Linked DNA regions of Drosophila melanogaster. The protein of the gene in region 1 binds, or shares a complex with, the protein of each later gene. Each region holds a gene or a part of one and is shown in the gene's direction. Other genes may lie near its edges.

Region 1 (6,065 bases):
AGTTTGCCAGAGTGGCGTTTGAAACACTGGAAGCTGATCTCGCATGTCATGAAAACCATTGATGCCCTACGCTGGGACTTGGCCACCTTTGAAGATTTCCGGGTGGATAATTTAGAACTGGCGGTGTGGTATTGGCAGGACGGTCTGTCTCATCTGACATTCCTAGGCACTGGTGCGCTCTTATAAATGTAAGTCCAAGACGAAAGCCTACTAATTATTGCTCTTTCACAGAATTCCGCCAGAGGATCTTAAACCAAGTGAGCAAATTGAAGCACAAGGACTTTTGGATCATCTACCTTAAAGAAGACACCTTAAAGGACACACGCTCCTTTCTCAAATTGCTAACTCAGTCCAGTGCACAGGAGGCTAACGATCTCTTCAACAAGCTCCTTAAAAAAAGGGCCGATTGTGCTGTTATGGGCGATCTTAGCGATGCAGTGGTCAAGGTGAACAGCGAGTCCGCTTTCATGGCCTTTAGATTCCTATTTCGAGAATATTTGATCGCCTTCCGGAGCCACGCCAAACACAATAAGACCATCACGAAGCGCCAGCATTGGGATCATTTGATGGCCGTTGTGGCCAAGGCTCCATTCTCCATTCGCAACGAGATTATGGAGCTAGCTAGTAAAGCCTTCGCTGTGCGATTCGGCATAAATATCCAGGAACAGCAGGCGGCCAAGTGTTAAGGAGATGCTGTTAGAAGTGTAATTTTCTTAAGCCAAATCGAAACACCGCCGCTAATCGACTAAAGACGTACATATATAATAATCATAACGCTAGGATGATGTTCAATCCAGATATCAGATTATTTTACAATTTTGTATGTCCTTTAAAAGGATGACTGTATGCACATAACATATGTACTACTGCCTTGCAAATTTTTTGTCTATTTAAAAAATACTTTGGCAAGCAAGTGAAGTTATTCAGATGAAAACTATTGCAATTTTGCATGTTCTTCATATTATTCGTATAATTATGTATTATATACATACATACATATATAAAATACAAAACGCTATGATCGAACATCAGAATAATATGTGTGAGGAGTCTACGTCCCCACAAATCTGGGTGCAGGGGAGCGGCCTTGGACGCCAGGAAAGCGGAGAGACTGTGAACTAACGGTACCGCGCTGGACCTTGGACTCGAGCCTGCCAAGGGCACGGAGGTCGAACAGTAACGGTGCGGACTTTGGACACGCACAAGAGGACACACATTGTGAACTAACGGCAAATTAGTTGGACGCGCAAAGGGGAAAATAACGGGATCCCCGCGGCCTATAAAGGAACGGCGCAAGTGCAGCTTGGGGCAGTCAGTCACAACACGCGAGGAGCCACACGTACGCGAGGATAGTCGAGGAGAGTACGGGCGCGAGTCGAGCCGTCAGGAGGCGGCCGCGCAATCGGAACGGCGTCTAAAGAAGAGAGACAGTGCGTTAGAACGCGCGGATACTACCATCAAGTTTTTTGTCTATTAAATAAATACTTTGGCAAGCTTGAAATTATTGTAATTTAGCATGTTCTTATTATTATTCGTATTCTTATGTACGAATTCCAAATCTATCTCTCGATTTCAAACTCAAGTGCCGCATGCGAATCGCATTATTTTAAATACTTTTGCTAAATAGGACCACTGTTTAAAAAACTGCAGTTGACTTTGGAGAAGTCGCAATATTTATAATGTCAATTATTAATTATCGAATAAAACATTACAATAATAATACAAATAATTAATTATCGAATAATACATTACAATACTTTATAAAATATCTTCATTTAATTTTCAGCTGAGCAAAATACAAAATATCATATGAAAATGTTTATAAATAAAGTTAAAGTTAAATCATAGCATGCAGTGGACAAGTCATATTAGTATCTATCTACATCAGAGAGTCTATTACAAAGCGAAATTTTTTGTTGTAGGGACATTTTCATTTTCAAAAAATATTCCTTGCACGCAAGATAATCGGTACGCACCGGTAAACTATCGATTTTCGATAGTCATCTGACAGAAGACGCACATAAAATTGAATTCCTTCGGAAGAGTTTTGACGAAACGCGAAATTTCGGCAGCACGATGATAACTGCTGAGAAGCACCCGCTGGACAATTGCCAGTTGTTTGTCCAGCTGAAGAAAATATTCCATGACAACAACGAACAGGCCAAGTGTCTGAAAGATATGATTTACTGGAGTGGTAAGTGAAGTACCAGAGGTTAGTGCCCAAATATGAACATTGTTTGTTCTCAGGAAACGATGAGCACATTGAGAAGATCTGCGACCAAGTGACGGACCTGCTGGAGGAGCACGATCTAATCATACAGCCGCCAGACACAATGGATCCTTTTGCTATGAATCAACTGCGTGGACTACTGGTGTACCTGGTGCTGAACACCGCACACGACTATTTCTTGTGCAAATCGCAGTGGAGCGCCAATGTCATGCATTTGTGTAACCAGCTTCCGCCTATCCCACTGTTCTTGACCATCGCAATAGCCGTTAACTGCTGTCTCATGGAGCCGCTGGAGGAATTCCTTGCTTGTGGACCCCGCTGGCTGACCATCCAGTATTTTGAGGCATTCAATGAGGCTCTGTCGGTCATTAATTCAGATTGCGTGGAAACACTACCGCTGCTCTCTGCCGCCCTCAGAGCAGCCGGTCGCGCAATTGTCAACTGCAATTTGCCCGCAGAAAATAAGCAACTGCTGCGCCAGATAGCCTGCATGGAACATCGTCATATCTTGGACTCTAAACAGCGCCTCCATACGCTGCCGCGTCCATCCACTCGAAAGATTTACCTGGCCAAGGCTATGGATCACCTTATAGAAGTCCTTTTGTATACCCTCAATGATCCATTAAAGCGGGAGAAACCAAATTGCTTCGCCGTCTACAGCCAAATAACCGAGGACATCAGTGACAGCAACTCAAGCGATCCCATGCCTGATCTGCGGCATTTCGCCCAAATACTGCTAGACGTTCTGCAGCGTATCTTTCAGCTCGTTAGCGTAGACACGTATATGTATTGGCATGAAATGAAATCGAAAAGTGCTTTGTATAACTGCCAGGAGCTAATCTGTAGACAGACGGCAGAATTGCTTAAAGTACTCCAATCAGATAAGTTGCTCGGAGAGCATCCGGTTTGCAAGCAGATGCAGAGCTTTGCGGATGCAGCAAAAACATTGGAGCAGCGCGTTGCCGAGATGAGAATGGGTGAACTCTTAGTCTTTCTCGATTCCGGTATGGCCACCGATGAGGAGTTGCTCGCCGGGCTGGACAATCTCTTTAGCCGCTTCATAGCCTTTGGTAACGATGAGTGCGTGGAAACGATGGCAAATCATTTAATTATGCTCACCAAGAAACATGCCCAGATAATACTCAGTTTCCTGGGTCAGGTGGTGGAGTCCGAAATGGTGGTCGAGGACGAGGGCATATCCGTTACGGAAGTAAATCAGGGGGATGACGAGGACGAGACCTCGTCCAACGATGATTACGAAGAGCTGCTAAGCCTAGTACTGCGTCCCTTATTTATGCAATTAAATGTCGAGGACAAGATGGAAGTACTGCTATTGCGCGATGAGCAAAACGTTACCCAAGGATTTAATTTCAAGGCTCCCGATCATCGGGAGCGTCGCATACGCTTCTTTAATCAATTGGATTATAATAAGCGCTTCCCGATAACCAAATTTCTAGTACTGTGCTTTGAGAACGCAAGACAGACCTGGATTGATTTCTCCCACTTGGGCGTGACGCATACTCGCTTCTCGAAGCTATTCTGGCACATAGCTCAGTCTTGTCCCAAGCATGCTGCTTTTCATATTTCCGCCTGTGCCGATAACATCTTGGTGAACGAGCAACTACTTCAAAAGCCGTATGCCTTGCAGTTTACACTCTACCTATATGGCCACCGACAGATCCTCAACGGTCTCTACACGTCAGCGCGACAACTGTGCGTTAGTTTGAAAGACGGACGGTGTCCCTACGGAGAGGATGAGCTTAGGCAGGCGCAAAATAGGTTCCTAGACGCGTGTGCCTACGGTTTGGCCAAGTTTATAGAGCCCATGAACTTGCCCAGCTTGCAGTTAATCTTGAAACTGCTCAAGCAGATTAGTCTGGGTGAAAGCAATCTAATCACCCGAGGCACTGCAGAGTTAAATGCACTCGAAAAGGAGCACCCGAAATTGGAGAACGGAGACGATGCACCAGCTGTCAAGGTGGCCAAGCACTACACATATCTGAATGCCAGCTTGCCAGAGTGGCGTTTGAAACACTGGAAGCTGATCTCGCATGTCATGAAAACCATTGATGCCCTACGCTGGGACTTGGCCACCTTTGAAGATTTCCGGGTGGATAATTTAGAACTGGCGGTGTGGTATTGGCAGGACGGTCTGTCTCATCTGACATTCCTAGGCACTGGTGCGCTCTTATAAATGTAAGTCCAAGACGAAAGCCTACTAATTATTGCTCTTTCACAGAATGCCGCCAGAGGATCTTGAACCAAGTGAACAGTTTAAAGCACAAGGGCTTTTGGCTCATCTACCTTAAAGAAGACACCTTAAAGGACACACGCTCCTTTCTCAAATTGCTAACTCAGTCCAGTGCACAGGAGGCTAACGATCTCTTCAACAAGCTCCTTAAAAAAAGGGCCGATTGTGCTGTTATGGGCGATCTTAGCGATGCAGTGGTCAAGGTGAACAGCGAGTCCGCTTTCATGGCCTTTAGATTCCTATTTCGAGAATATTTGATCGCCTTCCGGAGCCACGCCAAACACAATAAGACCATCACGAAGCGCCAGCATTGGGATCATTTGATGGCCGTTGTGGCCAAGGCTCCATTCTCCATTCGCAACGAGATTATGAAGCTAGCTAGTAAAGCCTTCGCTGTGCGATTCGGCATAAATATCCAGGAACAGCAGGCGGCCAAGTGTTAAGGAGATGCTGTTAGAAGTGTAATTTTCTTAAGCCAAATCGAAATTCCGCCGCTTGTCCAACACTTTAATTCTTAGGCAGTCAGATCTCTATATGACTAAAAACATATATAATATTCATAACGCTAGGATTGAACATCAGAATAATTTGATATCAGATTATTTTACAACTTTGTATGTCCTTTAAAAGGGCGACTGTATGCACATAACAAATGTACCACTACCATGCAAATTTTTTGTCTTACTAAAAATACTTTGGCAAGCAAGTGAAGTTATTCAGCTGAAAATTAATAAAATTTTGCATGTTCTTTTTTTTTCGTATTATTATGTATTATATATATAATATACAAAACGCTATGATTGAACATCAGAATAATTTGATATCAGGTTATTTTACAACTTTGTGTGTCCTTAAGGCCGACTATATTTACATAAAATATGTAATACTACCATCAAATACAAATTTGTGTTCTATTAAATAAATGCTTTGGCAAGCTTAAAATTATTGTAATTTTGCATGTTCTTATTTTTATTCGTATTTTTATGTATTACTTCGACTGCTTTGCTTCCTGTTGCAAAATTGTAACTTAAAACTAGGAAAATTTATTTTAATACATTTTTAAATTTCATGTACTCGTTATGTTATAAATTTAACTAATTTATATTCTGTCAAAAGCTGAATGGCATTATTCAGGGAAAGGAAAATTTTGGTGCAAATTGTTATTAATAACATTTTCAAATTACCTAAATAAAAAAAAAAATAGAAAAAATATCTTGTCTTAAAAAACACTATATATATTTTACAAGGTAATTTAACGACCAATGCTTGACAAGTATCGAAAAGATTTCAAACTCAAATGCCGCATGCGAATCGCATTATTTTAAATACATTTGCTAAATAGGACCACTGTTTAAAAAACTGCAGTTGACTTTGGAGAAGTCGCAATATTTATAATGTCAATTATTAATTATCGAATAAAACATTACAATAATAATACAAATAATTAATTATCGAATAATACATTACAATACTTTATAAAATATCTTCATTTAATTTTCAGCTGAGCAAAATACAAAATATCATATGAAAATGTTTATAAATAAAGTTAAAGTTAAATCATAGCAAGCAGTGGACAAGTCATAT
Region 2 (8,119 bases), on another chromosome or scaffold:
TTTTACTTTGGAACATCCTACTTTGCTTTGCATGCGGGAACACAACAAATTGTTTATAAAATATACGGTTCAGTATGTACACAATTGGAACTATCTTGGGCGCAGGCTCTCCGCCAGTTGGTCAGTCTAGTTGTAGTAGTTGCTGGAGTTCTTGGAGGCCTGTATGGGTCTCCGTCGCCGCGGCAGTTCGTTCTCCAGTATTCGCCAGCGTTCCGGTGGCCACACGATGGCCACTGCCCGCGCGGACATCAGGCCCAGGGCGACGGGTCCAAAGGTATTGCTGTCCATGGAGTGGCCTGTGTGATCGCCCTCCACCCAACAATGTCCTTCGGGTACGCGAACGATCTCGTGCTTGTAGCCCAGCGTGGACACGACGTCGCCCTGCAGCCCCACCACGCGCTTGATAATCTTCTGGGCGGGATCCTTGGGTGAAATGAGCGATATTATGTCGCCGCGCTCCACCTGACTGTTGTGGGTGCCCCAGCGCAGCAGGAACACATAGTCCTTTTCATCCGGCACGGGATTGAGAGCGGGCTGCATGGAGATGCCTGCAAAAAGTTGTGGATTAATTAGCGCACACTAACATGGAGCGAATAAACTCCGGACGACTCACCATCCACCCTGGCCACATAACCAACGCAGTCCAGGAAAGTGACGCCAAGTGGCAGAGCGTACAGCAAGGACTTGCCAAAGAACCGAAATGCCATGGATGAACTGGTTGGAGAGCGGAGCTATCGAGATGAATACATAACCACCAGCCTTTTGCCGAGTTCCTTGTGCGCTCCGGATCTTATGACATTCGCAGCGCAGCGCCGACACGGGTTTTGTTTATGCTAAATACAGGGTGCTTCAATAAAGGCGATGCAGAGGTTCTTGAGCAGATTACGTTTATTGAGGAAGGATATTTGCCAGCTATTGTACTTTAGTTACAGGTGTTTTTTTCCGTTTTGGGTTTATTGTAATTTTGACAGAAACAGGAATGTGACTGGGCAATCGTTCAGCAGCCCTCCAGCTCGCTGGGAATGGGTATCTCGTTCTGGATGGCGAACTGCAGCAGCGCCTTGTACTTGTTCTTCCAGTTGGACACCTCGCGGCGCACCTGCTCGTTGTCCTCGTGCATCTGCTCCAGTTCCGTCCACTCGTACGACTTCTTAGTCTCCAGCTCGTCCTTCTGTTCGATTCTCTTGATGCGGCAACTGGCTGCGTATCCGCGATTCTTTAAGGTTCTCCGGCGCTGCTTCATCCGAACGATCTCCTCGCGGTTCAGGCCACGCATCTTGAGGGTCCGATTAAGATCCCTTACCGAAATGCTCACCAAATCGTCATCGGTAATATCCGGAATTGGACATGGCGAAAGTGGTGCCTGAAAATCGCACTTCTATCAGGGTTTTCTTTCTTCTTCGCATATATCTACAAGGTACGTACCAGGGATGACTTTCTCTCGCGCTTTGCTTCCATTGTGGCCGATTGTATTTTATTTTTACGGAGACTTTTAGAATTTGCTAGATTTTTCTACCTTTTTTTTTTGCGTTGTTATTGTGTGTCTTCTTCTTCCTCTCTACCTGCTGGTTGCCATTCACAGGAAATGGATTGCATAGAGTTGGCAGATAGACAAAAAACGTCTGTGGTAAATAGCGGGTAATTTAAATATACTAAAGCTAACGTGATCCCTAGATTTTAGGCTTTGTAGCATAAGGTACTTAGTTATATTTTTAAATTATTTATATAAAGCAGATCCAGATTTTTGTTATAAATACAAGTTCGAAAATAACAAATTTATATTTTAATTATTATCAATTTTAATTAACTGTTAAGTTCCGTGCCTTCCAGGTGGCATCGCTGGCAAAGTTTAAGAAGCTGCCTAACACTAACAGCTTTACAGAAGTTTTTTCCCCGAACGACGCCAACTGTTAGCGGGAAATATTCCTTCATCCTGCAGATGCCAAGTCCTTATTGTTCGCCATGAACTCGCAGGTGATGTACCACAATGTGCCCACACCGCCGGGCAACGTATCTTTGGCGGCCGCTGCTCCCGACGGCGGTTTGCTGTACGCCGGCATTCGCTGCATCAACTACATATCCGCGCCGCCGGCAAACGGAGAGCAGCCCCAAGTGGTGACCATGTCGACGCGGATCAACATACTGGCCCTGGACGTTAGTCCCATGTGGGGCTTGGGCAACGGTGGGCCGACCAAGCCATTCGCCATTGTGGGCGACGATCTAAGCGTTCAGGTGTGGGACTGCGCATTGGGCGAAGCCGTCATCGGGCACAAGGCCCATCAGCACCAGCACGAGGCGCGGGATGTGCGCGTCGTGCACCACACTACCAACTCCGTGCTGATGAGCTACCTGGCCAATGGTAACATTCTATCCATGGACGCCAGTGATCTGGTCATCTATTGTGTGGCATCCAACACCTACTGCCGTCGCTCCACTTTCATCTCGCCCCGAAATCACCAACTCACTATGGTGCGCTGCTCGCCCTACAATGACAATTTGTTCGCTGTGGGAACGGCTATGGGTAATGTGCTGGTCTGCGATCTGCGCAAAATGAACATCGTCTACAAGTTCCACGGCCACAAAGCGCCCATATGCGGCTTAGCCTGGCGGGAGGTGCCTGCTGCCGAGGACGAAAAAACCAATAATCTGGCGTTAAGTGCTGAAGAGTGGCGAAGCCGCAATGGCGGCCAGGAGGAGAAACCCAAGACAAAGCCACCACCACTGACCAAATCGAAGGCAGCCGAATCCGACGACCCTTTCGACATATACAACTTTGATCATCTTGAGTACGAGTTCGGTGCACCTATAGCTGAACGCCGCCGCAAATCTTCAGAGGATTGTGGCGGCGAATTTGTGGGTCTAGAGAAGCCAGCTGGTGCCGCTGTCTTAGATTTCGTTGAGGCCTGCGAGAGTGTGAAAGCCGAACTCTTAGCCAGTCGCCAGGAGGATAAAACGCAGCACGTGGAGGTCACGCTGCATGACTGCGAGCCCACAAAGCCTACGGGTCCCTTAAGTGATGCCAGCACCATTAGCAACAAGAACGATGCCAGCGACTCGACCGAGGGCAGTCTGGAGGTCATCCAGTACAGCTCGTCCAGTGATGATGCCGTGATCGTCGATGGCGAGGCAGCAAAGCCCAAAAGAGAAGTATTGCATCACATCTACCACCAGGCCGAGGTACATGCTTCAGGAACACCGCAGACCAAGTCTGAGCCTCAGAGTAATCTCCAAGTTGTGCCGGCCATCAGCGCGGAGACCATCAGCTTGACATCCGTGAACAGCACCCACTTGGAAACTCTGCTCGTGTCCATTGACGGCGATGAGGTGATGATGATCTGGAATACCAATACGGGAGCGCATGCTGGCAAGAACTACAGCAAAAGCAAGACGGCGGGTAAGTGGAAAGAATCAAACCATTGAAAGCAAGCATTCAACTGGGATCTTTTCTTCAGGCAAGCTTAACAACGTCTACTGGCTGAACAACCATGTCATTGTTTCCCTGAGTCGCCATCAGTTATTCTTTTGGTCCGTGGAGTTCGAGCGCAAGATGCTACGCTACAAGATCAGCAAGGATAAATCACACAGCTGCCATTTGCAAGACATCGTGTCCTTTGCCTGTGACTCCAGCAAAGAGATGATATGGTTGTGCAGAAACAATCGCCAGATTGGAATGATGAATCCTAAAACTGGCCGGATGGCTGACTTTTACGGAACAGTGGCGTTTGGAGTGCGAGCGATGGCCGAGTGTCCAGATGATATGAACAAGTAAGCTAATAAGATAATATGCCATTCGCAAACGTTGCTAAACTGTTTTTCGTTTAGAATCGCTTTGGGTTGTTCGGATCGCCGTGTGGCCTTCTTCGATATATCGAAGCTCACCACCAGCTGCCTGCCCATCGACAGCGTTTATGTGTCCAGCAACGTCTACTGCCTGGCTTGGAGTCCAAACTGCTTGGAACTGGCCTTTGGCACCTTCGACGGAACGGTATGGCTTTGATTTCGTCTATTTTATTGGATATTGAACCTAAATATACAACTCAACAACAGGTGGGCATCCTGGATGTGGAGCGCATGAAAGTAAAGACACACTTACGGACGCCGCACAAAAAAGAAGTCTACTCGCTTGTGTGGCAGGACCACTTTATATACTTTATTGTGAATCGTGTTCTAGGTTTCTTTGATTTAAGAAAATCGAAAATCGGTGAGTATATGTTCTTAGCCGTTCTCTACTTATGTTGCCGACAGTTGTAGGTTTGATTCTGTGCGTTGCGCCTTCCGTAACTAATGTTGGTCTGCGCGTCGTTGGTCTGCTTCTTACGTATATTGGCCAAGTGGATTGTCTCCCGATGATAATCCCACGCATTCCATGTTACGTTTATCCAGTTTGCTGGCGTTAGGTCGTTGGTGACGACCATTTCGGTTTGACACTCAAAATCTGTCTGCTTTGGTGGCTCAACTACCAGATTCTGCAGTTCCTGCTCTATTAGCGCATCGTCCAATTTGAACAGCAGAGCCAGGTTCGCATTGTTGAAAACCACTTTTCTAAAGGCGGCTATGAAAGGCTCAAATCGCAGCTCCGCGAATCGAGCGTATCTTGGGTCCCGGAAACCAAATGTAATGTCCACATTGGAGCACAGCTTTCTGGTCACCTGGGCCGGCATAAGCAGGCCGTTGGTAATGGTCATGGCTAGAGAGCAAAACTCCTTTATATCTGCCTTGTTGAGCTTGCAAAAGTTGCCATCGGTCTGCAACTCCTTCACGGCATCCATGCGTTCCTCAAAGCTGCAGACCTTGGGCTTCTTTATCCGCTTATGAAGCGCCTGCAGCTCGGCAATCGTAGCCTTTGTCAGGGTCATCAAGTCGTCGACGACCAATGCCTCCACCTGCTCCCTCAGCTTGTTTAACTCAACAATGTGGTTCAGGTAGTTGTTCAGATTGCCCCACACCTGAGAGAGGTACACAAAGTGCGGCTGAAAGCGGGAAACGAAATTGGAGAAATTCTCATCTTTTAAATGAATACATCACTTACAAATATAAGCTCCGAATCAATAGCCGTGCGCATGGATAGGGTATCATCAATCTTGCAGATCACGCATTGATATCGCTTATGCTCCACTTCAATTAGGTACACTGTCTTCTGGTAATGTTCGTTCAGAGTCGTCAGACAGCGATGGAGCATAAAGTAGGTCGCCGCAAACTGGTTAAGCCGATCCAAATGTTCGAGGGGCACGCGGTAGGTCAAGGTCTCGTCCTTATGATCTATGTTTATGAGGTCATCCAGTGCCGCCTGGCAAGTGGACTGCATCTTGACCGCCCTTCCCATACTGGCTGCAAATGCGGCTTCCGTGTTCTTCTGGGCCATTTCCAGATCATCGACCACTAAGAAGTATACAGCAGATATGAAATATGAAATGGTTTGCCCTATATGCACATACCGCTTCTAACATTCTCCCGATCTCCATCGGGGCCATCGTTGTTATAGATCACAATGCCGCCCACGGTCGCCGACAAGCGTTGAAGATACTCTAGCCGATGGTACTTCTTCTTCAGGACATAATTCTGTAGGTCACTTCGACCGATGACGCTGTTGAGAGCCTGGGCAGTCAGCTTAAGCAGAACATGATTCTTGGGCGAGCCCAGACTGTAGCAGGCCACTATGAAGACCTGCATCTTTGCGAAGAGCTGGTCCAACTGCACTTTACTGCAAGTCTCGGGATACTGAAGGATATCCTTGATTAGCAGCTGCAGTTCGGTTTGGAACTTTTCCTCGTACTTCTTCTTGACGTATTCAAGGTCTATGGTTACTCCCTTTTTCATTACCCAAGCCATCTTCATGTTGGCCATAGTGCAATCTTTCGAATTGACATAGCTATCCACAATTGTATTCACGAAACCCTCAATGGCACAGGCGGTTGGCTTATTGAGGTCGTACTTCAGGAGACCTTTGCGCCGATCTCTTGCCAGCAAATGAACCATGTAGATGACAAACTCCTTGTCGACCCTGAGATCCAACTGTTTGAAGCGCTTCATAATACGATGACCAATGCTCACTAGAGTTTTGTGTCGCGGCATTTTGGTAAACAGAACAATTTAACCTATTTCGATGAAAGGAAATGTGTAATGTGGTTTGCTTGCTAAGTTTTTGATACGTGTGATATTTGTTGCCCTTGGCTACAGTTTAATCGATTTCATTTTCTTCAAGTAGCACAAATTACTCATGCCATCGAGCTTTTGTTATTCGAGACTTTTAGGCTTGTTTTAATTAATTGTTTCCCACAAATCATTAAAATGATCGCACAATTAGGTGCGGACCTAAAAGACAACAATGGACTTAAAACAAAGAGTTTTTCGTCATTCTGACTAGATTTAATTGTGTTTTAAGTTAATGGATGTATGTATTACTTAAAGGTAAAGCTAGTCAAAGATACATATAAAGTTAATTTAAAATATGCCATTATTATTTTCTTACAGAGCCCACAATTGTGAACTGCATTTCTCGACCCAGTTACCTCAGCATCCGCGATTCTTTCCTTTTTGTTGGCACCGATGATGGACTGCTGCAGATCCATGAGCGCGATTCGGGAATGGAGAAGTCGTGGTCTCCATTTATCCGCCAATCCGCTTTGTTTGCTCGTTATGTGACCGATATCGCCTGGTGCCCGCTGGACAGCAATAAGTTTGCAGTGTCGGGCAACGATAGGTCCGTGTACGTGATGGAGTTTCAGCCCACGGAGCGCAATTGGAAAACGCTTCACACATTTACGGCAAACACAGAGAAGGCGTCGATTACCTCGATGAGATGGAGTCATACCCAGAAGCACTTGCTGCTCACCTTTCATATCGAGGGAAAGGTGTGCCTGTGGAACTGCAATGCGCCAGAGAAGCCACCGCTAACCATCACCTACCACTGCCCCATGTGGTGTGGAATGTTTTTGCCCACCAACGAGAACATCATTATGTGCTCGGGAAAAGCTCTCTCCGTGGAGCTAATTGACATTAAGGACGCGCTGGAAGGCGATGAGAAAAGCATCTGTCCCAAGGTGGATGCTCTGTTAAATGTTAAGTGGGCTAGCAAATCCCTGACCCAGCCATACGCTCCAGTTCTCACAGCGGCTGAAAAGAAACGGCAGCGCCGGGATCAACGCAAAGCAGCGGCTAAGCTCGAAGTTGACGTAGCTAACAAGGATCAAAAGAAAATTCAGGAGTCAGTTACTGCAGTTATTGATAATCCAACCAACGATAAATGTACGCAAGAAACTCCTGTTGAAGAGATGTTGGAAGCGCTTAGCTTGGACAAGGAGCAAAATAATAGAAGTGCCAAAGAATGCCCAAAGTGTAAAGAGCAGTCACCTGACAGTTTCACAGTAAGTTATCCATGTGCTCTTGATTCGACTGAAACCCAATAACATATTTACCAACAGCATAGCCGCACCTGTCTTTACCTTACCCAGAAGGAGCTCAACAAAAGTGCCCTTGAGAAGCTGGCCATTGTTCTTACAGAAGACTCTGCCAAGATCGACAAGTCGGTGCTCATATCGAAGCTGTTCAGCTCAAAAGTGATGGCCAAGGAGCTCATTGCAACCGAGTGTAATTTCACTAACTGACTTATAGTATTTAAAATGCTAACGATAAATGTAATATTTCAGTGACCAATCTGAAGCACTCAAACACCAAAGACATAGCTCCACTTTGCCTGGCCATGTCCACGTTCAAATTACGCGAGGAGCTGGAGCAGCATATAGCCAACAAGACGCTTACCGAACGCCATGTTTCGCTGGCTCCCTCCGTTTCTTTTACGTAAGTTTCTACGTTTTTGTTGTAAATCGGTTTTGTCTTTAGTCTATATTTCTTGCAGACTTTGGCAGGACTGCTGTCGCGCTTATGCCAAGCAGATGGAGGAAAAAGGCTACATCATGCACGCAGCTACGTATCTTTTTAGTCAAGGAATGCAATCGGAAGCCATCAAACTGTTCCTGGCCAATGAATACTATAAGGAGGCCCTTGTACATGCGCGTATTTGCTTGCCAGCAACGGATCCCCTGATCAAGACCGTAATTAACAATTGGCTCGAGCATCTGGAGGGGACGGGTAACTTTGCAGCAGCAGCTCTGATGTAAGT

What was found.
Region 2: Gem4b (region 1) and rig share a complex: the UniProt entries of both Drosophila melanogaster proteins name them as parts of the core survival motor neuron (SMN) complex.

The regions. Positions count from the first base shown.
Region 1 is NC_004354.4:3,938,984-3,945,048, forward strand, and holds Gem4b (gemin 4b), read left to right. Parts: upstream 1-1,863; 5' UTR 1,864-2,076; coding exon 2,077-2,194; intron 2,195-2,247; coding exon 2,248-4,410; intron 4,411-4,469; coding exon 4,470-4,924; 3' UTR 4,925-5,282; downstream 5,283-6,065. Other genes in the region: Glos (gaulos), read left to right, coding at 1-172, 232-686. UniProt on the Drosophila melanogaster protein: Component of the survival motor neuron (SMN) complex that catalyzes the assembly of small nuclear ribonucleoproteins (snRNPs), the building blocks of the spliceosome, and thereby plays an important role in the splicing of cellular pre-mRNAs.
Region 2 is NT_033778.4:20,634,425-20,642,543, reverse strand, and holds the start of rig (rigor mortis), read left to right. Parts: upstream 1-1,862; 5' UTR 1,863-1,962; coding exon 1,963-3,394; intron 3,395-3,452; coding exon 3,453-3,765; intron 3,766-3,822; coding exon 3,823-3,985; intron 3,986-4,047; coding exon 4,048-4,201; exon of another isoform or gene 4,202-4,226; coding exon of another isoform or gene 4,227-4,970; intron 4,971-5,029; coding exon of another isoform or gene 5,030-5,379; intron 5,380-5,435; coding exon of another isoform or gene 5,436-6,072; exon of another isoform or gene 6,073-6,152; intron 6,153-6,471; coding exon 6,472-7,364; intron 7,365-7,421; coding exon 7,422-7,587; intron 7,588-7,646; coding exon 7,647-7,797; intron 7,798-7,855; coding exon 7,856-8,113; intron 8,114-8,119. Other genes in the region: CG11110 (uncharacterized protein), read right to left, coding at 127-548, 614-707; maf-S, read right to left, coding at 998-1,378, 1,426-1,458; CG13436 (uncharacterized protein), read right to left, coding at 4,227-4,970, 5,030-5,379, 5,436-6,072. UniProt on the Drosophila melanogaster protein: Component of the survival motor neuron (SMN) complex that catalyzes the assembly of small nuclear ribonucleoproteins (snRNPs), the building blocks of the spliceosome, and thereby plays an important role in the splicing of cellular pre-mRNAs.